Stegostoma tigrinum: one gene and its partner. The protein of the gene in region 1 purifies or fractionates together with the protein of each later gene. This does not show direct contact. Links are inferred from orthologs where the notes say so. Each region holds a gene or a part of one and is shown on either strand. Other genes may lie near its edges.

Evidence for each region.
Region 2: the proteins of actin-related protein 2/3 complex subunit 1A-B (region 1) and arpc3 purify together in Homo sapiens (affinity purification with mass spectrometry; 8 studies listed by BioGRID and IntAct, counting the BioPlex papers as one, with this or other methods). This does not show direct contact. The link is inferred for Stegostoma tigrinum from reciprocal best matches to the Homo sapiens genes ARPC1A and ARPC3.

The regions. Positions count from the first base shown.
Region 1 is NC_081376.1:12,149,069-12,164,930, reverse strand, and holds the start of actin-related protein 2/3 complex subunit 1A-B, read right to left. Parts: upstream 8,495-15,862; 5' UTR 8,361-8,494; intron 1-8,360. UniProt on the Homo sapiens protein: Probably functions as a component of the Arp2/3 complex which is involved in regulation of actin polymerization and together with an activating nucleation-promoting factor (NPF) mediates the formation of branched actin networks.
Region 2 is NC_081379.1:24,230,212-24,245,560, reverse strand, and holds the start of arpc3 (actin-related protein 2/3 complex subunit 3), read right to left. Parts: upstream 5,768-15,349; 5' UTR 5,639-5,767; coding exon 5,633-5,638; intron 5,194-5,632; coding exon 5,094-5,193; intron 2,999-5,093; coding exon 2,922-2,998; intron 1-2,921. Other genes in the region: gpn3 (GPN-loop GTPase 3), read right to left, coding at 14,538-14,606. UniProt on the Homo sapiens protein: Component of the Arp2/3 complex, a multiprotein complex that mediates actin polymerization upon stimulation by nucleation-promoting factor (NPF).

The DNA of each region.
Region 1 (15,862 bases):
TGTAGAGTATTTAGTATAATATCCATAGGTGACGGAGAAAAAGAAGCCACCAGTAGATCTCAATTCTAATGCAATTTATCATTCAGTCTTATGTGCAAAATACATCTATCTGTAACTGCCCCCAGTAACCCCACACAGCTCTATAGCATGGTTGGACAAACTCCAGATTTGTACAATGAAGTGCTTTCCACCGTCCAAGCAGTATATTAAAAATCGACATGCCTATAACACTTTATTGATAGAGACAGAAACAGAGCTTAACCTAGTAACTTTGTATAGGATTTGACACTTTGAGAAAAATTATAAGATTAATGTCAATTTGCAATGTTGTTCCTTCCAAGATTCCATAGTTTTATTGCTAACTATTACCCGTTACCTAAAAGGATTCCGGAAAATAGTAGGATTTATCCTGCATCCTTTTGGCACATAATCACATATGCGATCAACAACTGATACTTAAACATTTCAGAATATTGTTTTTCCAACGACATGAAACACAGATCTGGGTGGCAGTACTTTAACAGTAAGATCAAATACATTAAAAGGCAGTCAATAGACTAGTGACAGGATAATTAAAATCAACTAATTTTTTAATTGATTAAAATTGCTGAAGTATTCATTACAACATAATTTTTGATTAAGCACATACACAGGTGTGAGAAAGAAAAGATCTGTATTTGTAAAGTGATTTTTGCATCTTTGGGTGCTAGCTCCAAAGTGCTCTACAGCCAAGGAATTACTTCCACAGTACCATCACTATTGTTTTAATCAATAAAGGTGCAGCATGCAAGCAACACATTTCTACAAACAATGAGATGAATCACTGGTTTATCTATGTTAATACAATCTGAGGGATGAGTATTGATTAGAATTGCACTGGAACATCTAGATCTTGATAAATGCCTCTGTTATATTCTGGAATGCCATTTGGTGAAAGTAGAATCAGTGCAAATTTAAGCATCTACTTATGGTTTCACATTACAAACATACACCTCGTAAGTGAGCAATTTCAGTCCTTTGTCTTTTGGGAGGGACACTGAATGTCCAATTAATGTTCACCACCAGCATGCAATTAAACAATTTACATGAAATTAACAGATGCCTCCAACTCTTAAAAATAGTACTATTTATACAACTGTGACTTTTAAAATAAAGAAAATCAAAAAACCCTGTATTCACTGAGATCATTATATTTCAAGATCATTCAGGATACTTAACATTTTGTGATGTAAAAAGAACTGCAGACACAGGCAATTGATTTGTAGCCACCCATTTTGACAGATGTCCTTCCTCTCCAGCACGTTTCAAGCCAGAACATCAATCTGCAATCTTTTCTCACTCGTGCCTGCCGATTGTAGTTGTATAATTATCGACTACCTGTTCAGCATAAAATTGATGTTCTATCTTCTGTCCATCAAGGGTGTAGAATCTCTCAATTTTAACAAATGGAATCTGCCATCTATTGCCACCACAAGCTGAAGTACTTTTCACAATCGTACCAATCTATAAAAACATTTCCCTATTTCACTCATTGGAAATATATAACCAGTGACACCAAAATTCTGATCAGCTGATCTATATGCAAAGCATCGTAAAAATTAATAGCTCCATCAAGTTTTGAGAAGATTTGTAGCTCAGGTTGAGGTTCTGGAGCTGGAGCTCAGCGAGCAAACTTACATCCATTACTAGCTTTATATTCTTTGGGTCATGCAAGGGTGGGAAATTATCCATTTCTTCATCCTTAATTTTAATGTTTTATATGGCATTAAAACATTCTAGACTTCAGGATGCCTCATCACAGTATTCAAGTCTAACTTTGTAAAACTAAATAGGTGGTCTTGTCTGAGTGATCAAGCAGTTCAAATAATCAAACAAGCTCCACAGTTGCTGTCTTCTCTTTAGATATAAATTTTAAACTTTCTTTGAGGGCCTAGTATGATTAATTAGAATGGGCACACTCACTAAACAGGATTATTGACTTCAGATTAGTCCTGCCATACCCTAGTAATATGTGAACAAATATACAAGAGCCCCACAAGATTAACTCCCATTTCATTCCCATCTTATTAATACTAGATTCCTTGAATTCCACTGTACCATCCATAAGAATTTTCAATGAATCATGAAGATGCTTAAAAAGGTTCCTTTGTGATACCAACAAAACACTGTGGGATACGCTTTTAATTGAACATAACCTATTTTAGCACTATAAATGTAATTAAAAATACCACACCCTGAAAACGCCATTTCAGCCACTGTTGCACTTCTTTAGCTTTTCTTCTGCATTTGTTGCCTCTTTGGGGGTGTTACAGAAACATCTCTTAGAAATTACCACTTTGGGTAATTGGTATTTTAAATGTGATAATTCTTTCAAGTCTCACAATTACTCAGATTATCATCCAGTCCCACAGCAAATGCATTGTGTTCCTCAGGAAACATCACAAAACATGAGTACTTGAAGTACAAGGTACCTTGTTTACTTCTTTCAAATTCTCACAGTCTGTGATTTTGTAAAACTATGAACTGAACTTACTAGCTTGCCTTCTCTGATAAATACACACATTATCACGATCTATAAGTGTCTTTCTGTTCCCTGTAATCCTATTATAAAGCAAGCCTCCCAAGTAATTTTTTTCTCTCCTAAATTACCTCAGTCCTCTGAATTTTGAGACCTCAGACTTGATGAAATCCCATCTCATTACATGTAAAGTAATAAAATATATAGAAAAATTGAATTAACTGCACTTTCAAGACCAAGCATGTTGTACGATATAGAAGTCAATCTGGGATTTCATTCATTGACCGTTGCTAAGGGTTGTTTTCTCCAACCACCTAATAGAATGAAGTGCCCATTCTAGGGAGATTGTCACCTTGATGTCTGGCTGATCAACTAGCATTTTATGCAACATTTCACAGCTCACTACATGATTTCTGTCACAGTCTATTGCCGAAAGAATTTTCAACTACAATATTCATGACCATGATATTTTTACTTTCACATCTTGGAACTTGTTATTGGTAACTCCTTTCAATTGTTTGTCAGAAACTTTGCTGATGACCCATATCTGGCCCCTTTCCATATATGCATGATTTTGTCCATAATAACCCTTTTGTCTTTACCAAGAATTATTGTATTAAGATAAAACCAGGTTGTCAGGTTTACAAAATGTAGGCTCCAATTATTTCTTTGTCACACTTTTAGTTCTACGGCAATTACCTACTAAAGTCACATGCTAGTGGAAGGCTTACATTCTGTCATGGCACGTTCCTCAATAACCTTTTACAGATGTAACATCTCTCACTAATCATTGTTAGCCTTATATTCTTGGATCACATTAATCTTCTTGTGCCACGCCTCCACCTTTTAACTGGATTTTTAACTTTCGAGAATTAGGATGAGAAAGTTGCCTCTGGATCTTTAAGATAATTATCCTTTCTCTGATTATCACTTTTTGATTCCATTACTACTTGCCTAATATTCCAAGATGAAACATCATGTTTTGCTGAAGGAATACAATTGCCTGACCGAGCAGCCTGAAGATCCATTAATTTTACAGAGATTGAACAGGACAGGCCATGGAAAAGTTCAAAAACATGGATGAGAATTTTAAAATCAAGACAATGCTTGATCAAGGTAGGTCAATGAGCATATAGGTGATATATGAAAGAGACTTAGAGTAATCACAGTTGGCAGAGTTTAAATGACAAAGTTTATAGGGAATAGAATGGAGATGATTAGCCAGGTGTGCACTGGGATAATCAAGTCTGGGGGCAACAAAGCATAATCAAGGATTTCAGAAGTAAATCTATTTAGATAGGGACAAAGTCAAATGATGTTACAGAGATGGAGAAAGGTAGTCATAGTGATGGTACAAATGAACTAGGAAGCTCATCTCAGTCAGATGGGACATCAAGGTTGAGAACAGACAGCTTTAATCTTAGGGAGAGGGACGGAAGTGGCAGTCCGAAACAAAGTTTGGAATAGGGATCAAAACAGCTTCAATTTTCCCAATATTTGATTGAGGAAGTTTCTGCGCATCCAGTGCTGAATGTTGGACAAGTAATCTGAAAATTCAGTAACACTGGAGGCATTAGAAAAAAAGCTGCCATGAGGGATAACTGGATATTTGGAAATTAATGCTGTACAAGTACCAGAGAGTAATCATGCCTTGACAGTTGAACTTTTCAGCCATTTTGTAAAATGGTGATTAAGATTGTAGTTTTCTAACTGAAATTCTTTTCAAGTTCTAGCTTAATGTAACAGTTCCCTGCTACCACATTACATCCTAGAAAGGCAGTTTGTAAAAGATAAAACCAGTGCCTGTTATTAAGCACTTTAAAGCATTTAACATTACAAGTATATATCTCCTAACCTGTTGGTGAATAAAACAAACCTCAAAACTACAGTTTCAGTTGGATTCAACCATTTACCTCTTCTGAAAGGGATGCCACTAATGTATTGTAGTAAATAAAGTATTTAAAACAAAGAACCCAGGTGTGAGCATGCCCCCTAGTCAAAGAATGCCTGAAGCATACTAGTGGACATCTAGGCCTGCACGTAGCCACAGTAGACAGGCAGGTAGTTAGGCTGACTGACCCCCCTCTCATGAATCTGCAACTAATACCTACCATCTGTAATCAATAAAACATAACTAATATACAATAACCATGTCCACAGTATCTAATAAGCCTAGATTAACAAAAGAACTGTTCCTTTAACATTGCATTTCCATAACACTCCCTCTTGCACTGAACTATCATGTTAATTCAATGACCCAGCTGTGTAAATACACATAATATGCATAGAAGTTGCTTAAACCAAGCAGCACAACTTGGATTTTTCGTAATTCCTACAGCAAAACATGAAAATAACAGCAAACTGCCACTGAATATGTTCAAAACATGAGACAATTAAATGAGCAAGGTTTGTTTTTGCTAAGTCTTTGTAAGTAAGTCTTTGGTCACAATCAACTCTTTTTTGCCGTGATTGTTTGACAAGAACACTTTACATTCCTTCTCTCTTATCTTATTGTTTCCCCACCCTATTCAGACTTCAACCGAATGACTCAAGTCCCATAACTGGATACCAAAGGTTAGTACAATACAATTTTAAATTCAGAAAACAAATATCCATTCTAAACCAATGAAAAGTGCAACGCTCTGTAATAATTGGCATTTCAAAGCATAAATTTAGAGTTGAAGTTAATTGTCAGAAAACATCAGAACTTTCTGGAGGAAGAACATGACAGCAGCTCCTTCATTCACTTTTATACAGTGTAAAGATTATTAAAAGCTGATTAAATTATGTACCGTTGTATTTTAGCTAAATAATTGCAAAGTTTTCTGAATTTAGAGCATAAAAAACACTGGCTTAAAAATCTGTCAATTAAGTTTAGAGGTAGGCTTTCTATACAGATGTCATGGATTCAAGCCCGGAAGCTGAACAGAATTGATGAGTAAGTTTCGCATATTTCAGTGTCATCTTTCAGATGAGACACAATCCAAGGCCCTGTCTATCTCAAGGAAGAAAAGGGATAGTTCTCAGTGCCTCAACCAACATTCAACCCTCAACCAACAGTATTAGAACAGGTAATTTATCTAACTGCTGCTTATTAGTGGGGTCAGTTGCTTTCATTGGCTAGAGGGCCAACATGTTGTTCAGAATACCGTGCAGCTTCAATTTTCATTACAACTGAAGTTGACTAATGACCTAATGCAATATGTCCCTTAGAGTGGAAGCCAATGGCAAACCACCAATGACAGAAAGCGCCAAAAAACAGACTGGCTCACAAAGCAACAGCAATGAGCCAAGGACCTGCCATTAGGCAGAGCACGACTGGAATGGAATGGAATTCTTTTCCGGCGCTCCCCCAATCTCATGGAAATTGAATTTTTTTTGAAGAGGTAACAGAAAGGCTGGATGAGGGTAATGCTGTTGCAGTGTACGTGGACTTCCAGAAGGTACTTAACAGTGCCACACAACAGACTTGAGAAAAATTATAGATCATGGAATAAAAGGGACACTCGCAACATGGCTACAAAATTGGCTGAGTTAGGAAACAGTAAAGTTAATGGATATTTTTCAAAAGGAGGAAGGTTTGTAGCGGAGTTCCCCAGAGATTCTTACTTCTCCTGATGTGTATTGATGATCTAGATCTTGGGGTGCAGGTGACAATTTTAAAGTTTGCAGAGGACACAAAACTTGGAAGGACTTTATACTGTGAGGAGAAATGCAACAAACTAATTAGATCTCAAATGGAGTGCTGTTACAGATCTGGACAACATACTATAGGAAGGATATGAGCACATCAGAGACTGAAGCAGTTTATGAAAATGGTTTCTGGGACAGTTTTCCTCAAAGACTAAGAGATCTGACAAAGGTTTTCAAAATTGAGCTGTTTGATAGAACAGATAGAGAGAAACTGCTTTTTCTTATTAAAATACCAACTAGAGGCCACAGATTTCAAGCGATTTTAAAAAGGAACAAATGTGACAAGAAAATCTTTTTCTTGCAGGGTACAGAATGCATGCCCGGAAGTGGTGGAAGCAGGTTCAACAGAGGCAAACAAGAAGATAATAGATGTTTAGAGATAATGGGAACTGCAGACGCTGGAGAATCCAAGATAACAGAGTGCGGGACTGAATGAACACAGCAGGCCAAGCAGTATCTTAGGAGCACAAAAGCTGACGTTTCAGGCCTAGACCCTTCCTTTCTGATGAATGGTCTAGGCCCGAAACGTCAACTTTTGTGCTCCTAAGATGCTGCTTGACCGTATGTTCATCCAGCTCCACACTTTGTTATCCTGATAATAGATGATTACTCGAATAAAAATAATGAGTCTTGAGAAAAGGCACAAAATCGACAGTTTGTAATGATGCTTACTCAAAGATTCAGTGCAGACATAATGGGCTGAATGGCTCTTTCCACACTAATACTTCTTTGAATATGCACAAGTTAGCTGTCACACTTGCCTGTAGTAAATTTCCTACCATTCAAGATAATTGTGAATTACCACAGTATCCAAAAGATGTGAAAGGTGCTACACAAGTACAAGCTCTTCCCAGTACCTAAACCATACTACATTTAAGATCCTGCAAGTGGCCAACATTACTTAAATTATTAGTTGCATCTCACAATATTTTACACTTGACAATAAAAACCCCATGAAAGTATGGCCATTTAAGCTGACTGGTACAAACATATTACAGGGAGAATAAGAACTTACATTTCTAACAAAATAATCTAAAGTCATAAAGTCAATGTGTTCCTTTCACAAGGACTGGATAACACAGACTTGTTTCACACTTGCACCAAGAGGCTCAATGTTCTCATTCTTGGCAAAGCCTAAATCTGGAAGGATGTAGTTGGGTAAAGATTTCACATGCCTGTGCACCTTGAGGCAAAAAGGCACCTACAGACTGTGAGTTAACCTAACAAGGCAAACATTCATAGATTATTAAAAGATTTCATAAAAAACGCTTCTGAAACTTTACTTGCATTGGCCAGTCAAAAGAAAATACTACAGAACCCTGTCCTTGCTCACAAAGTATGTTAGCACTGAGGACTATCAACAATCTGGCTTAATCATGTCAGGTATACAAAAACTGGATGTATCAGGTAACATGCTTTAAATTGCTAAAATTTCATGCTTTCTCTCATTTCAAATTAAAACCCTGGCATCTACGAGTCAACTTGGTCCCACCCCAAAGTAATTATTGTTTTAAGGGGGAAGAAATGAAAATCAACACAAAAACAACAATGTCTCCGCATCTGTTTTAATACTGGCCCTGCTTCAATAATTCCAGTATACAACAGCATTGTTAAACACCCGAGTTTCAGTCTAGGCCGTCATAGTCAACCCACTTTAATAAACTCCAGTGGAAAATGTGTATTTCTGACCATCTGGCGCTGTAGTAACTCTCAGTAGTGAATTGTCCCGGTTATTGGGTCATGTTCACTTTTGTTGTATGCCCTCACTGATATTGCTAGCCCGAGCCCCAAAACAAGGCTCATCCTCCCCTCGTTCGGACGTACTCCCATACCGGGCCTGAACCCCCGTCAGGGGCAGGTCGCAGGAGGGGAACAGGAGGAAAAAGGGGCCGGTCAATAGGTCACAGAACAGCTTCCTGGGTCTCGGCGGTCATTTTTCAGTCAGGCTTCCCACGGTATGTGACCGACAGACCGAGGCCAGCCGCTCCGCTCACCGACCATTCGGCCCTCCCTCCTTCATTCCTTCCGCCGGCTCTGTCGGTTTGCCGGGTCGTTCCCGGCCTAGGCCTCAACGGCGTCTTCACTCAATTGGGGCCCGGCTTCCTTGCTGTCGGATCCCCGGCCCCCGAGTCCCCTTCCCAGCCGTTACCTGGCGCGGGCTGTCGGTGTCGGGCTTGAATTCGCGGACTCTGGGCAGTCGACACGAATTCGGTCACCAGGCGGAGACGGGACTGTCGGGATCCGGGAACGGCAGCCGCGCGCACGCACCAACGCGGACTCCGGCTGCGCGCACGCATACCTTACGGAGCCTGCGTGCACGTGGAGAGGACCCTTCGATCGGCGGCGCGCTCCCGGCTGGCTCACCTGTTCAATGTCGTTTAGTTATTAAACAGGTCGCACGAGCTTGTCCGTTATCCCTTAACAAACAAACAAAGCCCATTTTTTGTAGGGCACAGAGTGGAAACATATCGTGAGGCAAAGAAATGTTGGCGAATTAAATAATCTTGTCATCTGTACCAACGATGGCCGCGCGCCCCTGAGGTGCAAACATCCCACATTCCTCTCTCCAGGATCATAGCTATGGGTGTGAGGAGGGCAGATAAATACTAAGCCAACCATCACAGATCAGATCCAACCAAGACAATGGTAGTTTCACCTTGTAAGCGATACTACTTTGTTTTTGAGTTTTAAAATTTTAACACGTTTCGATGTTTACTGTAAAAAAAGTAAAATCAAATCTTAAGGCATTGTTTCTCTTCATCTGTTGTCCATTCTGCGAGAGGGACCTTGTATGCGAGGTCATTGGTTCAGAATTATGTACACTGGGACTGTCCATTCCTTTGAGTCTCAAAATTCCATCGACTGACCTTACTTGGCAGAACGTATTGTGTCTGATTCTTTCCTCCAACTATGGTAACTTGGAAACCACTGATGCAGATGGTGACAATAGGGTATGACAATGTTCAGTAGATGGCACCATCCTGCTCAGCAATATGGCGAACAGGAGGTGTATACTGAAATCTCAGAGCTGCGTGACTTTTGCGCTGGGAGGCTGGTTCTTACGATCTGCTCTTGTGTCTTTAAAAGTTGTAGCTGTTCACTCACTGACACTCTCCAACTCCCTTCATAGCTTACGTGGGAATTCATGAAACTGAGGAAGCACTTGAAAAGCACACCGTACACTGGCAAAGATGCTCCCATCTTGGTGGATCCTGACACATCTTTAAAAAACAGTACGTGTTTAGGAAAAGTGTCCTTGGCAGCTATGGGGAATTTCCTTGCAAGGAGGGAGGACAGACACAAATACATATTTAGCCTGGTAGAGATGCAGAACCTTGCATGTCACTAGAGAGGAGGTTCTGCTTGTAATTGAGGGATGAGATGTGCTCCCATATATGAGAATTTCCCGAGATGGTGCAGGGCCATTGGCTGAGAATAAAGGAGCTCATGCCGCTCACATGACCCACGATAGCTCAGAGCTATGCTCCTCCTTTGTGAGTCATATTGAGAGTGGATGCAGGAGCAAAGTGCTGGCATTGCATACGATAAATGTAATCAAAGGATCGAGGTATCTGGAGCAAATGCCTTTTATGCTGCTGTTGATGTTCTCCTCCAGATTGAGGGTGTCATAGAGAAGCATGTGCCACCCTTCACAGATGTCTTAATGATCCCTGGCCTCCTCAGCTCTTCAGACAGTGTAAGGGCCAAGTTGGACAGCTGACACCTGAAATAAAGCAGTTGAAGCAGCCTCCATGGATGCCCCTAGGGGCACGTCTATGATGCTGATGATTGCCATATATGCATCTCAGTCACACGTCAACTGCTGTCATTTCTTCTGAGGCTACAAGAGAACCTTGACTAGGATTAGCCAAGTGTGAAAACCATTGCATTACAGAAAGTACTGATTACAACACTAGGTGTTGTCTTACCATCTGTGTGCATTGTTTCCCTTTCTTATCACTTTATAAACTTGAAGGTATACATTTGAGATTCCTTTTATTGGCAACATGGTGAAAAAAGTGTAGTGAGGTGATGAAGAAACCATGAAGAGGGCAAACTCTCTGGATACCTGTACATCATTCATAATACAGTGAGTATTCATGGATGTGATTAAATGGGTGTGTTCATGCAATAACTTGAAGTGACTTGGGTCCCTTGCCTATCATTCTGGGAGAGAGGGACTTGTTTCAAAGTCCCTTAATGAAATGATCTATCACATACATGGCTTCCTAAAAAGACATTTGCATCCTGCCCATGCCTGGCCACCTCTTTATGAAGCTGAGAGTCTAAAACTGGAATACAGGCTTGGCTAGGATATGGAGGCTCAGGACCTGCACTTATGTGACTAGTTGCAGCTAGGAGCAACTGCCTGACAAATGTTCTTGGTAACTTAAATGGCATTAAGATGGTTTCTCGATACAAGTTAGCACAACAAAATGGCTTTTAGGCTGCCAACTGCTAATTCTGCTAGAGCTGCATAATGGTTTCTAGACTGCTAATTATTAATTCAGCTAGAGTTGCATGAATAACTAACCCCCAGACTGTAGCAAAGGAAGATTAGCAGACAATACGCCCTTTAGAATACAGAAGTAACGTGATAAGATAAGGAAGTACTAACCGCTCTGACTGACCTTCGGGTGCAGGTGTGGAGGGACTGTGTCGGGGGACAAAAGTGACCTAAGCATTGTGACTAAGTTGTTTACCAGTTAATATAATTGGACCAAGTAAATGCCAATGAAGCAATATCATGTATTGATAGGTAATTGTTTGAATGTACAATGCGATCATGCCTTGTACCCTGCTTTGAGAAAAGTATAAAAATGTCTTTGTATTAAGTTGTGTGTACAGCTCCTCTGACAAATATGGAAGTACTCAACTTCTGTGTTTCCGGATGCTCTGTACCCAGCCATATGAAGAAATAAAGAGTAAAGCCTTAAACAGCCAGACCAATTGTGAGTGCTCATTGATTGATCGTGGAACTGAGAGACCCTGCCAGGGGTCTAGATTTTCAAAGCCAGGAGTTTTACATCTTCTCACTCTGCCTCCACTTGCTCCTTCTGTTCAATCTCCTGTTCCTCTCCATCCGCCAACTTATTTCCAGGATCTCGTTGCCCTCAACGCCTACTGTGCTCTGGACAGCCACATCATGAAGAGTGCAACATACCATTACACATCAGCCAAAAAAATAGGTTCAGCCCTAAGACTATCCCAGTTAATATCTGGGTAATTAAAATCCTCGACTATTACTGCTTTATAATTCTCATACTTCTCTAAAATTTGATTGCGTATTTGATTCTGTATCTTTCCATGGCTGTTTTGGGGCCTCTCTTCTACACCCAACAGCATGTTTACCACTCATATTTTTTGCTTTGTTTGACAATCTACCTTTTTGGAATACTGCATTCAATTCTGGTCTCCTGGCTACAGGAACAATGTTGTGAAACTTGAAAGAGTTCAGAAAGGATTTCCAAGGATGTTGCCAGGATTGAAGGGTTTGAGTTATAGGGAGAGTCTGAATAGGCTGGGGCAGTTTTACCTGGAGCATCAGAGGCTGGGGGGTAACGTTATAGAAGTCTTTAACATCATGAGGGGCATCGATAGGTTGAATAGCCAAGGTCTTTTTCCCAGGGTAGAGGAGTCCAAAACTATAGGGTATAGGTTTAAAGTGAGTGAGGAAAGATTTAAAAGGGACCTAAGGGGCAACTTATTCAAGAAGAGGGTCGTGCATATATGGAATAAGTTGTAGAAGTGATGGTGGGTGCAATTACAAAATTTAAAAGGCATCAGCATGCGTACATGAATAAGAAGGGTTTCGAGGCAGAAAGGCTAAATGCTGGAAAATGAGTCTAGATTAATTTAGGATATCTGGTTGGTATGGATGAGTTGGACCGAAGGGTCTGTTTCCGTGCTGTACAGTTCTATGACTGTATGAGAGAAACCCCAGCAGGAGCGTATATCAAAATACCACCAATTGGTCCAGGCACTCAATGCGACTTTTAGGAGCTTAATGACCTGCTCAGTTCTTGTTCTTAGGTGCAAATGGCTTTGATTTAACCACCTCAGAATCTTTATCTGAGGGTCTCTTAGAGGGATGAGTAGCCATTCCTTCAATGGACTTTGGGGTTGGAATGAAGATTTCTAGCAACCTGCATTGTAAGAAGGAATCACATCAATGGAAGTAGTTCACATGAAAGCAGTTAGTGATGTTCTTCACCTGGGAGGAAGTGAGCAATAGTGGGTCTGTACTCTGTGTTGGTGCTAGGCTGCAACTGTCATGAAATCCCTGCACTCACTCTCAGAAAAAGGACATCAGTGATCTTCTGATGCAGCGATGTATCGCCACTTGAGATGGCACTGATGTCTGCAGCAGATCCTTGGAAACAGCCAGAGGTGAAGAAGTTCAAAACCTAGAGTGACTTTTAAAGGGTATGGTGACCAGTGTTGTGAGATTCAAGATGTTTGATGATGAGGGAATGAATGTTTGTGACCAACTGCCAGGAGAGTTAGGATCTCTTGTTGCACTGGGGTCAGGCAACCTCTTTTTTTGGTGGTAGATCTATATGGAAGGCATGGCATCTTTACAATTCTTAAACCTTGTATCTGTCCTTTGCCCTCTAGATGCCAAGGTCTCTGCCCATCTTGTGGAAGCTTTGCACTTCACAGCCTGGCCATCCAAATTTCAAGTCCCATGCCCCTATTGGCAGTTGCTGCTTTTCTTGTGTTTAGCTGAATGCTGATTGTCTACGGTTGCTTTGTGCCCTGCTGTTTTTCAACCACTCAACACACTCCCTACCCAAATGCCCAAATGTCAGGAGAGTGATGACCCTCTTCATTGTCCAATTGCTGACTGCCCACTCTCTGCCACCTGCACTGTTATTGGGCACCTGACTCCCAGTGGCCCAAGCCTGCTCTGCACCATTGAAATGTTTATTGTGCCAGTGTAATTTATGGGCAGCCACAATTGGATTCTCAAACTTGTGTCCATTTAATTTTGCCTAGCCTGCCCCAAACAGCACATGCTCTTATTAAAAGATTTCCAAGTATGTTAATTGGCCCTAATTGGAAATTGGGTAGGATCATCATTCTCCCATCCTGGTGAACATGCTCAGTGTGAGATTAGCATTCATAAAGTTAGTATTTTAGGGCCATGTCTACTCTATTTCCACTTTGGCAAGGCCCAACGATTCACCTCTGATGTGTACAAGTACAGCCCCATTTTTGTTTTAACAGCCTGTAAACCCCTTCCAACAGTCTGGGACCTTTGTGCTGATATCAAGATTGTGACAGGTATGAAAGGAGAGTATTCAATACAGGACCTGTCAGATTGTTGGTCACCCTTAGAAAATCTCTGGTAAATTTCTCTCTGATCCCGGATTTATTCAAACAAGTTTTGGAAGACTATACAAAATTTCAAGGAACTGTGGGTGCTGGAAATCAGAAAAAAAAGATATTTCTGGAAAAACTCAGCAGGTCTAGTTCTGAAGCAGGTCACTGGATCCAAAATATTAACCCTGCTTTCTCTCCACAGATGCTGCCGGACCTGCTGAGCTTGTTCAACAATTTCTGTTTCATTTAAGAAGACTATCTTGACTGGAAAACACATACCACATTGTTTTCACTCATCCACCCACTTTCTCTAACCACTATCTTCTCTCTCATTGGACTTAAAGAAGATTCCATCGCACTATTTCAAAGAAAAGCAGGGGAGTTTGCACGTTCTCCCCGTATCTGCATGGGTTTCCTCCGGGTACTCCGGTTTCCTCCCACAGTCCAAAGATGTGCACGCTAGGTGGATTGGCCATGCTAAATTGCCCGTAGTGTTCAGGGGAGCAGGGGTTATAGGCGGATGGGTCTGGGTCTGGGTCTGGGTGGGATGTTTCAAGGGGCGGTGTGGACTTGTTGGGCCGAAGGGCCTGTTTCCACACTGTAGGGAATCTAATCTAATCTAATCAAAATTATCCTCAGTATCTTGGTCAGAATCAACATCAAACTTTATCTTTCCTTTTGTTTTGCTGTTTATGTATAGTAGGATTATGATCCTACCCAATTTCTAATTAGGGCCAACTGAGATTTCCCAAGTTACAATGGTGTCTATACTTTGGAAGTGCCTCATTGGATGAAAAGTGCTTAAAATGTCTGTTTATCATGAAAGGCACTATATAAATGCAAGCATTTCTGTAGGTGAGTTAATTCAACAGTTTACTTATGTTTCTTGATTCTCCCCCAAACAAGCTAAGTCATACAATTTATCCTTAAGACCTCAATTTAATTACATCAAAATTCCAATAACCCTCATCTTTTTTCAAGAGTATATTTCCTCAGCTCTCTAAATCTGCTGTCACTATATAAAAGCCTTTTATAGTAATTATCAAAAAAATTAATTATTCTCAATTTATTTCAGGGTCTGTGCATCACTGTGTGAGGGGAAAATTTGGACAAAACCTTCTAAATGCAGATTAAGCAAAAGTTTTATATAAAGATGAAATTGTGATTTTTGATTTATATTTATTAAATTGATTTACTGCATCACCATACAGCACCACAACAAATACTAAGTATCACCCATTCTGTTCAATTTTAGAAAATTGCAGCCACATTTGTTAGTTTCGGATTCATTATCTGAATTCAATTCCTGAACGAAAAAAAAGTTACCTTTTCTGCAAAATGTTTACTGAATTTCACAAATAAAAACAAGGAAGAAAATTATTTCAGAAAATTTTAAAATAGTGTGGGAAAAAATGACAGTTAGAGGTTGCAACGCTTGTTGATTATGGTTTTGTGTTTGAAACAACGTAAGTGCTTCTAATTCTTTCCTGGTCACTTGATATTATTTATGTAATCCATTCTTCTGGTAATTGTTACCTTTTTCTTGTGTAGAGTAAAATCTTCATTCTCCAACATGGGTGGTTCTGATTAATTAAAATGCTAATTGAGAGTTACGTTTATAGAAGGAATACAGAATAATACTTGCGTCATAAACTTTCCAAGCCTAAAGTATCAGATAATATGCATGAAGTAAAGAACAGAGTTCATTTTACTTCTAATCTTCAACTGCATATTAAAATGTAAAGTATTAAAGTACTGTTTATAGGTATCCAAGCAGAATTAATCTTCAGCATCTTCTACAACTGTCGATTAAGATGAGAAGGTGTAAGAGAAAGGGGCCTACTACAAGCCCTGGATGATTTATTGCTTATAATCCCAAATGTCGGGTTGCCAATTTGCCTTCTGCCTTTTTCTACATAAAAGTAGAGTGCAGAATGAGCAACTGCATAACCACTTATGCAGAATAAGTCTACCTTTCAGCAAATGTAATCAATGTATCAAAAGCTAAAGTAGCATTAGCTAAGTAATTTTCACCTCTTCAATGAAATCTTCAATCTCTTTTGGTTTTCAAGTATTCACAACATACTCAATTATTTTCATATCATTAACAATATGTGTCTTGTCAGCCTTCTTGACGGCTTTAACCCAATCTGCCTCACTTTTGTGATATTTGCTGATTGCTTGTGTAAAAGGAATATCAATAACCATTTCGGTAATTTTGGATAATGTAATTTGTTCTAAGTCTTACATTAAATACAACAAATTTTCTTTATGAGAAGAGCCTTCCACAAATACAGCACTGGGTAACAATTGTTTTCAAGCTGT
Region 2 (15,349 bases), on another chromosome or scaffold:
TGGTAGTGTATCCCAAGAAAAAGAATTTGTGAAATGTCTACATGACGACTTTTTGGAGCAGCCTGAGGTAGAACCCACTAGGAAATGGGAAATTATGGATTTAGTGATGAGGCAGACTTGATTAGGGGGCTGAAGGTGAATAAACCTCTTGGGGGCAGTGACCACAACATGATAAAATTCACTCTGCAGTTTGCCAGGCAGAAGCTGGAATCAGATGTAATGGTATTAACAGTTGAGTAGAGCTAGCTAAAGACATGAGGGGAGCCTGGGAAAGATGGTGGAACAGCAAATGACAGATTCTGAAGATAATTCAGGAGGCACAGCTGAAATTCACCCCAAGGAAGAAGAAACATACTGAGGGGAAAACAAGGCAACCATGGCTGTCAAGGGATATCAAGATAACATAAAAGAAAACATACAATGTGGCGAAGATTAGTGGGAAGCCTTTAAATACCAGTGGAGGACAACTGAAAAGCAATAAGGGGGATTCGGGGATGATGAAATAACTGGCTAAGTAAGCTGGCTAATAATATGAAAGACAACTGTAATTTTTGTAGGATATCTAAGATAGCAAGAATGGACATTGGACCGCTGCACAATGAGACTAGAAACATAGTTATGAGGACCAAAAATGGCAGAGAAACTGAACAGGGACTTTGCATCATTTTTCACAGCGGAAGACACCAACAGTATACCAGAACTTTTAAGGTCAGTTAGGGGGCAGAGATAAGTGCAGTGGCCATTAGTAGGGAGAAGATGCTAGAAAAGATGAAAGGTCTGAAGGCAGATAAATCACCTAGACTGGAAGGACTATGCCCCAGGATTCTGAGGGCATTTCTGATGATCTTTCAGTAATCACTGGAGTCAAGGAGGGTCCTGGAGGACTGAAAAATTGCTAACATTGCAACTGTTTAAAAAGGTAGGGAGGCAGAAGACAAGAAATTATAGGCCAGTTAGCCGGAGGTCAGTCGTTGGTGAGATTTAAGAGTCCGTTATTCGGGATGTGATTGCAGAGAACTTGAAAGTGCATGGTACAATGTGGTTGAGTCAGCACAGCTCTGACATAAGATTGAGGATCTAACAAGCAAGTTAGACAAAGGAGAGCCAGTGGATGTAACCTATTTGGATTTCCAGAACACCTGTGACAAAGCACTGCACAGGAAGCTGCTAAATTAGTCAGTAGTGTTTGGGGCAAGGTGTTAACATTGGTGTGGATGACTGGCAGAAGGCAGTGAGTGGGGAGGAAAGGGTCTTTTTCAGAATGGCTGCTGGTATTAGTGGAGTTCCACAGGGCTCGGTGCTTGGACCACAACTAATTATGTTATGCATTAATGATCTGCATGAAGGAGCTGAGGGTATTGTTGCTGAATCTGCAGATGCCACTATGATAGGTGGAGGGACAGGCAGTGTTGAGGAAGTGGGGAGACTGCAGAAGGACTTGGACTGGCTAGGAGACTTGACAAAGAAATGGAAGATGAAATACAAAGTGTGAGGTTATGGACTTGGGTGAGAAGAATAGAAGCACAAGTCTACTTTCTAAATGGTGAACGTGCTTCAGAAATCTGATACACAAAAGGGACTTAGGAGTCCTAGTTCAGAATTTTCTGATGGTTAACCTTTGGCTCATTTGACAGTTAGGAAGACAAATGCAACGTGAGCATTCATTTCAACGGGACTGGAATGCAAGAGCAGAGATAGACTGAGGCTGTATAAGGCCCTGGGCAGACTACATTTGGAATATGGTGAGCAGTTTGGGCCCCATATCTGAGGAAGGATGTGCTAGCTTTAGAGGGGTCGAGAAGATATTTACAAGAATGATGCTGGAGCTCAAGAGCTTATCATGTGAAGAGTGGTTGATTACTCTGTACATAATCCTAACAGGTCTGTACTCAATGGAATTTAGAAGAATGAGGGGGAAATCTCATTGAAATTTGCAGAATACTGACAGATCTAGATACAGTGGACGTGGAAAAGATGTTTCCACTACTAGATGAGATTAAGACCCAACGGCACAGCCTCAGGGTGAATGGAAAACCTTTTAAAACTATGAAGAGATTTTTTTTCAGTCAGAGGGTGGTGAATCTGTGGAACTTATTGCTGCACAAGGCTATGCAGGTCAAGTCTTTGAGTGCCTTTAAGATTTAAATAGATAGGTTCTTTATTAGTAAAAAGAGGATCAAGGGTTACAGGCAGAAAGCAGGGGAATGGGGCAGAAAAGCACATCAGCCATGAACAAATGGCAGAGCAGACCCGATGGGCCAAATGGCCTAATTCTGCTTCCACTGCATATTGCCCATTCCTTATTGCCCTGGAGAGTGATCCCGAGTTACTTTCTTGAAAAACTGCAGCCTGCTGGTTGTAGGCACATCCATAGCACTGTACAGTTTTAATATGAATGCAAATCAAAACATCTGCTAGCCAAATGCCCAAGATGACATATCAGTATTTAAACAAGTGAATTTGATTTTTTGTAGTACTTAAGAATAATTAAGATAGACTTCCTATAAGGAATTACTTGCTTTGCCATATTATGGTTTAATATTTTATACTCAACAGGCTTTTTAATCTAATGTATCTTTATGAAAAAGTCTTTTTTTTGATTCTTACTGAGTAGAGAGAAAGTGGAGAGTCTGTTTTAGCTCTGTAGTGATGCAATTTACAGATCAATTAGTAAAACATCCACAAAAACAATCCACTGCAAGTCTCCTTTCGATCTTCTGGCTCATTAAGACAAATTAGGGTACTTGGACATTGGCTGATGTCAGAAACACTGTCTAAACATAATCACACTACTTTTGTGCCGAAGTGATTTCACTTTGTTATACTACACGACGCATTACTCCCTTGAATACACGACAAATTATTCATGTACTTTATTTAAAAAGAATCTTTACAATTGACAAATCAGAAAACAAACCTACCTTTATTTCATAGTTTTTGAAGAAAACATTTGCCTTAAAATAGTAGATTGCTTCATCAATGACATCAGTGTCTTTAGCTGGAAAAGATCATTATTGATAACCAAATCTTAAATCCTTAAGCATAACAAAAAATTAACAGTTTGAATTTGTTGTCCCCAGTTGGGAGATAGAGTCATAATTACAGAAGTCAATAACACAGAAAGCAGCCCTTGGGCCCACAGAGTCAAAAAGCACCACCACCTAAATATTCCAACCACATTTTCTTCACAGATACTGCCAGACCTGAACTTTTCCCGCAACTTCTGCTTTTGTTTGTGATTTACAGCATCCGCAGTTCTTTTAGTTTTTACCTTTTGGATCAAAATGTTTTTCTTCTCCTTTGCTCTAAACTTCCTGTCTCTTATGTCTAATCTACGGCCTCTTGTCATCGATTCCTCTCTCTCCTCCCCTCACCCCACACCACACCAAATGAGTTTACTCCTTGATTAAACTTCAAAGTTGACCCATTCAGGTAGTCATTTCAATCATCAATTAAGTCTTCTTTCTACAGGCAACTATGTTCCAATCAAAACAAAAAGCGTGTCCTCTTGGTTTTAACTAGAATGCAGTGTCTGGCCTCCTTGGCTGAAAACCCACAACTAATCTAATATGCACCTTGTTTCATTAACTGTTGCAAATTACATAATTTTAGCTTATATTACATTTGACTTAGAATGTAAAACAACATTTAGACTGTCACGCTGGCATGCTTTCTTTGGCCATCAGGTGGACGGTACAAAAAAGAAACAAGCTTCAGCAAATTTTTCACCTCCTTCCAACCCCATACATGACTAACCTTAGGAGAAACAAGGGCAGTGGATGTGTGGGAATATCCCCACCTGTAAGCTCCCCTCTAAAACACACAAGTTTCTCGTTGGAACTATATCAGAATTCTTTCATCGCTGCTGGTTCAAAATCCTGGAATTCCCTCCCTAACAGCATCATTGCTATATCAATATACCACGTATTGCAAACGTTCAGAAAGGCAGCACAGCAGCACCTTCTCAAGGGCACTTAGAAATCGGTAATAAGTGCTGGCCTAGCCATTGATACCCACATTCCATGAAAGTTTTTTTTAAGAAATCTTATCTTCCTATGACATTTAAAAAGTATAATTGCACTTTCCCTCGCTATTCTCTCAAGCTTTCTTCACCCAGCAGAAGGATTCAAAACGAGGAACCAGAGTTCTAAGGTAAGGAGCAGAAGTTTTAAAGGGGTTTGCAAAATTCCACCCAACCCCAAACTGGGTTCTGGATATTTCGTACTCACTGCCCAAAAAGGGTAGCAGAGGTAGGAACCCTCAACTCATTTACAAACTATTTAGACAAGCAGTTGAAATGCCATATAGCATGCAAGGCTACTGACCAAGTAATGGAACATTACAATAAATGATATTTGATGAAGGTCATGGACATGGTAGGCCTCGGAGCCTCTTTCCATGCTCTCAAACCTGAATGACAGTACAACCTACACCAACACGTCGACTAACAGCGCTCTTAAATACAGTTACCAGGCCAAAGAGTGACCAAAAGTAACATTATAAAAAGAAATACTACTTTTTGAAACTTCAGTATCTTTCCAGAGAACCTAGCTGATGTTTGCGGGTGCAAGTTGCATGCTGCATGTGTTGAACTAGAATTTTTGAATGCATTCAACAATTCAATTGGAGTATTTTTCAATACACTAGCCATGCACTACATGTGGCTAATCAGAAATCCAGCTGTGGAAAACTGCTTTTGACAAGGCAAATTTTAATCAATAGAGTAACACATGGTCAAACTGCCTCTGCATTTGGTACTTAAATCAAAACAAGAGCAGGAGTACATTTAGCCTTTACTCCCCTTGTTACCAAATGATAGTAGATATGATAAAATAAATATACCCATGCAAGGTACATTTCCCAAAGCAGTAATTTACATCACAACCACACTGCTGTATGGAAATGTGTCTATTTGTAAACTAAAAAGTGTGCTTTTTCCCTGGCACCAAGATTTTTTTTGAAAGAACTTTCTACAATTATTAACTGGTTTAAATTACAAAACTAACACTTAAACTGTTTCCCTATGCATAACTGTACAAACTGATGCAAGTGTTGTATAATTCAGTTTTCATAAAATCAATCTCAAAACTTACTTTCCTTAGGAGCTGGTCCTTTAAATTGTGTTTTAAGCGGCAATAATGCCATGTTTCCAATCAGTTTTACATCACTATCCATAAGGGTTGAATGATAAGCCTGAGAGAGAAAAAGTACAATTAGAAATGCTGTCCTTCCCTAGTATACCGACTCAACTGGCATATTTCTGTCAAATATATTCCTGATTTTAAGATTGTATTCGTAGGTGATTAAGATCAATACTACAGACCACAACTTCCAGTAAAACGGATGCAGGATGCTCCATGAAGGTTAGCATCAAATAACATCATTGAATTAAAGTAATTCACTTCATTAAGCTAAAGGTGACAAAATACACAGTTCTCTCAACCGTACATTTTTGGACCAAAGACACAAATATTTTTTCTTAATAATCTTGCTTAGGCCCAAACGGCCTACTTCCTGATTTTTCACATCCACTCTGATTTTTCAGTTAACTTCCATCAAATAACATGAGTTTAGGATGCTCCGATACAGGAAGGTGTTGGGGGATTAAATAAAAACCCTTCAAGAAACTTACCGGCATTTTACAACCTGCAACTGAACAAGCGCCCAGAATAAATTGGTTCTGCTTCGGTCACTCTCAGCTCTTCCGCCAGTCCCACCCTGTCGGTGACGAGCGCGGCGTCAGGCGGCGGTGCGGGAGTGAGCACGGCGAACGCTATTCCCACGTGACACGAGATAGAACCTGGCGAAGGATCCTCTGATGAAGGGTCTAGGCCCGAAAGTCAGCTTTTGTGCTCCTTAGATGCTGCTTGGCCTGTTGTGTTCATCCCGCCTCACGTTTTATTATCTTATGAAGGATCTGCACGTTTTACTGGAGGATTTTTTCCCCCCCGACCCTTCCCCATCCGGGGGGGGGGGGGGGGGGGTCAGTTCAGGACTGCAGTTCTCAATTTACTGATTCAACTTTCACTGGAGTATTGCAACTAATTCTGGGCCCCACACAGTAGGACCTATCAGAGGATACAGGAAGGATTCAGAAGACGAGTCACAGGCATGAAGGACTCTGGGATGTATGTGAGAAGTTGGAGAGTTGTTGTCCTTGACGAAGCATAGAGGTGATCAAGGTCAGAAATCTCATCACATCAAGTTATAGGCCAACAATTTGAAAACATAAGCTTTCAGAGTCGAAAACATGGTATAAAAACAATAAATGGTACTGTATTAAACACCAACAAGCCACGACCAGTTCTCACTGGTCTTACTATACACAGACAAAGAAGGACATGAATTCGACTAGGACAACACATCCATAATAGCACATGCCAAACAGAAACAAGCCATGGAATTTCTGGAGGCTTAGCATTCCAACCAGAACTCCATCAACAAACATGAACTGGACCTGATATACAAACTACTGAGAAACACAACGGAAGTGATGCCAACGGAAGCATATAAATAACACGCAGGACACAATACTGACACTTCATTGGAGGTACATTGATGTTACCTAGCAGGGTGACAAAACATCTGCAAACACACCAACTTAGTGAGCAAGTCTACAACCTCGTCTACAACCTCATCCACAAACCAAGCTACAAATCTTCTCAAAAACAAGTCTGTCCTTTTCTGTGAGATGACAAGGTGTAGAGCTGGATGAACACAGCAGACCAAGCAGCATCAGAGGAGCAGGAAGGCTGATGTTTCAGGCGTAGACCCTTTGTGAGGAAGGATCTAGGCCCTAAACGTCAGCCTTCATGCTTCTCTGATGCTGCTTGGCCTGCTGTGTTCATCCAGCTCTACACCTTGTTATCTCAGATTCTCCAGCATCTGCAGTTCCTACCATCTCTATTCTTTTTCCATCACTAACACAATAGAATTATGGTCACTGGCCCCAAACAGCCTCCCCCACTGACACATCAGTCACCTGCCTGGCCTTATTTCCCAAGAGTAGGTCAAGATTTGCACCTTCTCTGCTAGGTACATCCACATAATCAGAAAATTTTCTTGTATATGCTTAAATTCCTCTCCATCCAAGCCCTTAACATTATGGCAGTCCCTATCTCTGTTTGAAAAGAGAAAATCCTCTACCATAACCACCCTTCAACTAAAATGAAAGTTCTCCTAAATAAAAGAAATTCAAGGGCAGCATGGTGGCTCACAGCATCAGAGACCCAGGTTCAATTCTAGCATTGGGCAACATTCTGTACAAACTCCACACATTCTCCATCTGTGTGCATAGGTTTCCTCCCACAGTTCAAAGATGTGCAGGTTAGGTGGATTAGCCATGGGAAATACAGGGTTAGTCTGGATGGGATGCTCTTTGGAGAGTCAGTGTGGACTTGTTGGGCTGCATGGCCTGTTTGTACACTGTAGAGATTCAATTAATTTATACACCTTTAGTCAATCTGCAAATTCCAACCTTATCAGAATATATTAGTCTAATTAATGATATCTCCAGTCCTAGGTACATGTTTTCATTCACCCAGACAGGGATTGCTTCATGTTATGCTAGCCTGATACTGTTGACCTCAACCCTTCTCTATTTATTCTAACCCCCATCCCAGAAGGTGAGGGTTGTTCCTCCAGGTCGTGTTGAGCTTCGCTGGAGGACTGCAGCAGGTCTGAAACAGAAATGTTGGCATGGGAACACAGTGGCACGTTGAAGTGTCAAATCACTGGAAGGTTGGAGTCATTTTTGTATACAGAATTTCATAAAGCAGTCACCCAGTCTGTTTTGTCTACACAATATAGAGGATTGTGAACAGCCAATACAGTGACTACATTGAATGAAGTGCAGGTAAGTCACCGCTTCACTTGGAAGATGTGTCTGAGGCTTTGCAGTGAGGAGGTAAACAGTCAAGTGTTGTACCTTGTTTGAACGGGTGCCATGGAGTTGTTTTGGGAGTCAAGCAGGGCATTCTGGAGGAAACGATGCCTACAAAATGCTGACAAAGAAGGGGAGGGAAATACAAGTCTGGTGGTGGCATCCCACTGGAGGTGCCGTATATGGCAGTATATGATCCTTTGGATGCAGACTAGTAGGGTGGAAAAGTGAGGATGGAGGAGTGCTGGCAAATGGACTGGATATCCCTATTAATAAGTCACTTAAGACTTACTAATTGCTTGTTGCACTTGCGTTGTAAGACAAATAATGTGTGGACCTTAAGTGGAGACTATTTGATTACAGGAGTAAAGTCACAGTTGTATAAAACCTTTAACTCCTCAAATGGAATATCGTGTACAGATTTGGTCTCATTACCTGCCATACAAGGAGTGAATGAAAGATTCACCAAATAAATCCCCAGGATAATGGAACTGCCTTATAAAGTTAAGATTGTGGGTCTCTATTCCCTAAAGTTTCAAAGATTGAGGAGTGACCTCATTTGAAACTTACAAAATTCTTACAGCGTGTGATCAGGTGGATGTGGAGGCTTAGGCTGGGAGCACCATATTAGTTTAAAGAGGTATGCCACTTAAGACCAAGATGAGATGAATTTCACGATGAGGGTGATGAGAATCTTTGGAATGCTGTGTCCCAGAGTGCAGTGTGTGTTCAAATGAGAAATCAATTTGGAGACTAAATTTCACAAGGGATATAGAGATAGTACAGGAACATGACAGAGGGATGGGTAATCACCCAGTCAAAATAATGGGATGGCAGAGAAGGCTTAACAACACACCTGTTCCTATGTTTGCCTGCCTGACACGTGGTAAGCTGATAGGCCTTTCCCAGCAGAAGCAGGATGGGATCCTTAACTGGGCATTAAAGGACTACAATTGGCCCACCATGGTGCAAGTCAGCAGATTGTCTCCCCACCACTAGTAAAATTATAATGATGACAAGTGAGTCGGCAACAACTATGACACCTATTGGACTTTGTGTTCTCATGCCTTCAAATCCACTAACTGTGTTACATCCAGTGCACAGATCATGTCTTGAATTATATACAGATGAAATGCCATCTGAATAAATTGAATCAACACTTAACTTTTATGGTCTCTCCAGGGAACTGTTCCCTAGACAAGCCACTGACCGACATTATTCTTGCGGATTCATTTTGCATTTACCATTCCACCGTTTAAACAAAGCATGTTCTCTAGTTCTGTATCAACAGCTTGATTTGAAATTAAAACATCATAACTGACATCACCACTGACACATACTGCTTTAAAAGTGAAAATTAAAAAAAACAGCAGTGCAATGGGTCACTGAAATAATGCGATAATGTGACCATTCTTGGTAAAAAGGCTGCAAAGATACTAAGTATGTTATAAGGTTAATCCCTCTGTTAACCCTATGATAGTCCCTATAATGTTAATCAATGGCATTACAATACTAAATCATTCCTTTCACAAATCCACTTTGATAATCTTTAGTGATTTTATTTCTATCCAAGTGGTCCATATTCTCTCTTTAGGGAGGCTTTGTATAATTTTATACTCGTGACAAATTCACAACTTACCTTCATGCAGTCACAAACAACTTGCCACTACACAATGATTTCTGGAAGATTTATGCCAGAATTTCTGTAATTTTCTCTTTAATTCTTTAAAAGATTTTCAAATGCATTTTACCCAACTCAAGTTCAAGTTTCCACACCTATTAGACAACCATGCTAGTAGTAATATGAATGGTGATGAGAAACATTGTCTCTTTCCTTACCCACTTCACTTTCCAGATAATTTTAGTTTTATTTAAACCTCAAAAAGGAGACAGCCAAGGCAAATAACATATTTAGCATCTTTGCAGCCTTTGTATCAAGAGTTGTCACATTATCACATTATTTCAGTGACCCATTGCACTGCTGTTTTTGATTTCCACTTTTAAAACAGGATGTGTCAGTGGTGATATCAGCAACTCAGCCTCCCAAAATACAGGCTTATGGCTATGAATCCAGGATACTACCCAAAAACAGTGAACAAAAACAAAATTGCCAGAAAAGCTCATCAGGTATGAAAGCATCTGTGAGGAAAAAGAGAGTGTTAAAACTCCAAATTAATATTTACTTTGAATTTTAAATTTGCTTTGAGAGCCAATGTTAACAGGCATATATTTTCCCCTAAATTCAGCCATTAATCTTCCCATTTTGAATATCTTCAAAAATGGAGACGATTTTAATAAACATTGTAAACATAATCTTTACTTCTGAATAAGATTTCATAGTACTTTTGTTGAATGTGTTTTAGAAACATCATTTAATAACTTTTGAATCCAACACTTCCTTCTTTCTGTACAATTTTTCTTAATTTCTGCAAAACTGGATATTTTGAGTTAAGCTGTCCTCTGGATTGTAAATTGCTATTGTGCAATAATAAAGTTCATCCAGGATGTTAAACAAAGTTATGAGATGCATCCAGTATATTCACATTATTTTGAGCCATTAGCCAGGAGACAATTGTATTTTCTATTCTGCTGAAAGCATGTGGAGTTTGCTTTAAGAGAAGCATGGAAGGAGAGGGGAAGGGAGGGGGAAGAAGGAAGAGGTAAAGCGGTAATGATGAGAATGTCTCCTGTTAACATTCAACTGTCAGTCAACTTCTTCCTTTCCCTGGGCGACGACAATAGATTTTGAGTAAGCACAGACACTGGATAGTGGAATAGGATGTACTGATAGTTAGTGTAGTTTAGCTGGATGTAAGGGATTTTGATTTCTGGCTTTTTCTTTTAACTCCTTTGAAGAAAATGTTGAAAACCATGCTCCTTTGGTTCATTAATCATATTTTGCCTACCTATTTTGCATGTTAAACAATACTTTCCACTGTATCTCAGCACATGACGATAATAAATCAAATCAAGACGCATGTCAAAGAATTCATGAAATTACAGTTCCCTAATCCTTTGAAAATATTGGTTTATACAGTTTAAAAAAAACACTCCAGAACTACAACTACCCAAACAAAACTCTGATTCAACTGTTTATGGATTCTTAAAGGTGGCAGTTGGCTTTAATAACCATGATCTTTCACACTGCTGTAGTTAATAAGTTCTTCAAACTATGTTCATTGCCATGAAGCGGAAATGCCAGTATTGGACTGGGTCAGAAGTCTCATGACACCAGGTTATAGTCCAACATGTTGATTTGAAACCACCAACTTTTGGAGCACTTTTAAAAAACAAAATAGCTGGTGATTTCAAATAAACATGTTCGACTATAACCTGCTGTCATGTGACATCTGACAATGTTTATCACAGGAGCCACCAAATTTAAACTTTAATCACGTTGTTGACATCATTACTTTCATTTATTCCTCTGTATAATCATTTCTTACATAAAACACTCGGACACACAAAGCAGAAGACTAACCATGCTTTCTTCTCATGGCACTTCAAAGCCATCCTGTTTATATTAAAAAGTCTTGCTCTAAGATAAAAGGAAGTTTGCTCATTAATCCTTAGCTCTTCAGGGCATCCAACAGCATCTTATTACATTCAGTTTCAGACTCTGAATTGCATCAAATTGAGGTCTTGCAGGTTTAGCTTCATTCCAAATTATAGTTAGTTGATGATTAATGTAATTTTTTTTAATATAAAAGATTGTAAATACTTGAACAAATGGCACGTGTGTGCAGTATGTGTACTAAGTCAGAAACCTAATATTAGATTTTCAAATCAACAGGGTTTGAGATAGAAAGATTTGCATTTTGATTGTTAAAAAAAATTGAAAAGGACTCCCTCTTTCTACCTTATTCACCTTTCCCATTTATTTCCCAGATCATTTCTCAGCTCACTGTTCAAGAAAGCACTTACAATTCATGGAACTTGCATCAACCCAGGAGACTCACCTGTGTAAAATGGAAAAAAAAAGCTTTCTGCAATCCAGCCAAGGTTGAGACACATAACCTCAGATGCCCATCCATCAGGCTGGAACACAAGACTATGCAGAGTAATTACATTTTTTTTGTTTTTTTTAAATTTAACCCATTGTTCTAGTCAACCTGTTCAGATGTTAATACACAAGTCAGGAGCAAAATCCATACCTCTCAAATAAGGGTAGGCACACTATTGCTGCACCACCGTGGGGGGCTCATTATATGAACATCGCAAAATTTCTTATTGTAAAATTTGTTTCAGGTATAACAAAATAATAAATTTATTCTACATTTTTACACTTGAAACAAACTAATACTTCCTTTTAGACGACTGTCAAAAGGCTAGTGCTAGGTGGTGGTGATGCTATGTTTGAAACCTGTTGCATGAACTGAGGCATCAAATTAAGCTTTTATTTTCACACAGTACAAGTTAAAAATTATTTGCAAATTAAACTGTGTGAAGCTATGAAAGTGGGACTAGGCTAATCAACACTTGTAGCCCCTTTCAATATTCAAATCAGTCACTGCTAATCTCTACCATAAATACACTTAGTCAAAAGTGATACACATATCCTTTGATAGCCTGTTTAAAGCCTGGGGTTAGACTAATTTTTAAGTTTGACTTAACTTTCTACAAATGTAGTCACAATCTTCACACAGTTGGATTTATTTTTGGCTTAGTTCACTTCTTAAGCTCTTGCTTGAGAAGCTTAATAGGTATTTGTATGCAACTTACGGAATAAAATCACATTACGTTGGTCTCTATTAAATGTGTAACAAATGCCAGGTGGTTGTCAGGTTGGGGGAATAGTTTCAGGTGTAAATATTTTGGAAAATGCTTTCATAAATTTTCCAAAGAGATGACCACTTCAGGGTATTTGTTCAACTTCTTGATGACATGGATGGCAACTTCCTCTTGAAATAGCACAAACATGGAGACCATATCTTAGCTACCTTCAACTCTCTGGATCATCATGGATTAAAGCCAGAACATTTTGCATGACAACAGCAGCCTCAAGTCTACTCCAGCTGCAAGTCCTTGATTTTGTGGTAGGCACAGGATTTTGTGGCACAGCTGTATTCTGCAGCAAACATCACCATGAAGACAGAATGAAGGAAGCTCAAATCCATTAAACAAACTGACTTGAATTATATCTGGCACAAAAGAAAGACTGTTATGGCTGCTGAAAGTCCATCTTTTCAGCCGCATATTATAGGAGGTCCCCACAGAAGTATCCTCGACCTGAAAATTCTTGACTGCTTCACAACCAGCTTTTCCTCCATCATAAAGTTACAAGGGAGGACTTTTCTGATGACTGCCCAGTATTCAGGTTTGGGCTGTTAACAGTCAAAACATTCAATTGAGTGCCAGACAATGATGATGACTGATATTCCAACCATCTCTTGACATTAAACAGTATTGCCATCTCTGAATCCGCCAGCATCAACATCCAGGGGGTCACCCACTGACCACAAACTTAAAAACTAGACAGATACATAAATATTGTTACGGCGAGAGGAAGTCAGAGACTGGAAACTCAGCAAATATCTCACCTCCTCAGAGCCTGTCCAGCACTTGCAACAAACAAGTCAAGACATATAATGGAATACTCTTCACTTTCCTGGATGACTGAACCCCAACAACTACGTGGTTAACCTTTATGAAGGACAAAGCCTGCTTGACCAGCACTCCCTACCACCTCAGATGACTGTGGATCCAGTATCTAATATTCACATGTATTGCAGCAATTCATCAAGGCTCCAATGATATCCTCACCTAAACATGATATCTCTGGACACCCAGAAGGACAAAGGCAGCAGTCAAGCAGAGGACCATCATCTCAAGGCAAAACACCAATTTGAGTTGAAAGTACACTTCTATTCCTTCATTTCCACTGGGTCAATATTTGGAACTCCCTTCCTAACAGCACTGAGTGTATCCCTAACTCCACAGATTAAAACAGATTAAGAAGTCAGCTCACTACCATTTTCCCCATGGTGATTAAAGATGAGCAATAAATAATGGTCTAACCAGCGATGCTCACATTCCATGAATTATTAAGAGAAATATCATTTAAGCTTTTCCATCATTCAGTAGTAATATTTGCCTTCCAAAGTGAAATTTATTAAAAACTGTAGACTGTAAAATTCCTAACAATTACCCATTTTATTGGCTGTCAAAATGAAATTACCCTAACATACTTAGAAAAACAGTTCGTACATTTTCTGCTTTTGAGTAAGCAACAAAGTGGAAACCTATCCTTTTCGTAGTTTGTAGCAAATAATATTTTTAAAAGGTGCAGGCCTTTAGAGTTGCTACTTGAAATAAAATAAAGTTCCCAACATTTTGCTGAATATCAACAAAATGTTTTTGATACCTTAAATAGAACAAGTACCCTCAGGGGTTGGAGTTTTGTGTTAAGTTAACTGCACATATTATTTAGCAAGCTCAAACATTACTATTTTCTTTCAATGTACAAATCAGTTTAAGGTTTTGAGCTTTTATCCACACAATATGGTGTAAATAAGTTGCGTTCCAAACAAGATTCCTAAATTTCCTCATATTAGGAATTGTTGGAAAGTCAGAGTGTTGGGAGGATCCAAGTAGAAGGCTTCTGAAAACACCAAAATGTTTAACTGGACCAAACATTCAGCCATGTCTGGGAACTTCAGTCTGCCACCGAACCTTGGAAAAACTGCTCACTTGCACTGGGGTCTTCAGTGCTGTCTTCTTGTTCCTGTAAGAAAAGGACACAATGGTAAAATTTGCAAGCAAGTTCTGAAAACCTCATGAGAAAAAACAAACCCAAAAAGAACTGCAGATGCTGGAAATTAGAAATAAAAACAGAAATTGCAGGAAAAGCTCAGTAGGTTTGACAGTATCTGTGGAGAGATAGCAGGGTTAATGGGGAGTCCAGTGACTCTTCTTCAGAACAGTTCTGAAGAAGGTCACTGAACCCAAAATGTTAAGATAATAAAATGTGAGGCTGGATGAACACAGCAGGCCAAGCAGCATCTCAGGAGCACAAAAGCTGACGTTTCAGGCCTAGACCCTTCATCAGAGAGGGGGATGGGGAGAGGGAACTGGAATAAATAGGGAGAGAGGGGGAGGCGGACCGAAGATGGAGAGTAAAGAAGATAGGTGGAGAGAGTGTAGGTGGGGAGGTAGGGAGGGGATAGGTCAGTCCAGGGAAGACAGACAGGTCAAGGAGGTGGGATGAGGTTAGTAGGTAGCTGGGGGTGCGGCTTGGGGTGGGAGGAAGGGATGGGTGAGAGGAAGAACCGGTTAGGGAGGCAGAGACAGGTTGGACTGGTTTTGGGATGCAGTGGGTGGGGGGGGGAAGAGCTGGGCTGGTTGTGTGGTGCAGTGGGGGGAGGGGACGAACTGGGCTGGTTTAGGGATGCAGTAGGGGAAGGGGAGATTTTGAAACTGGTGAAGTCCACATTGATACCATATGGCTGCAGGGTTCCCAGGCGGAAT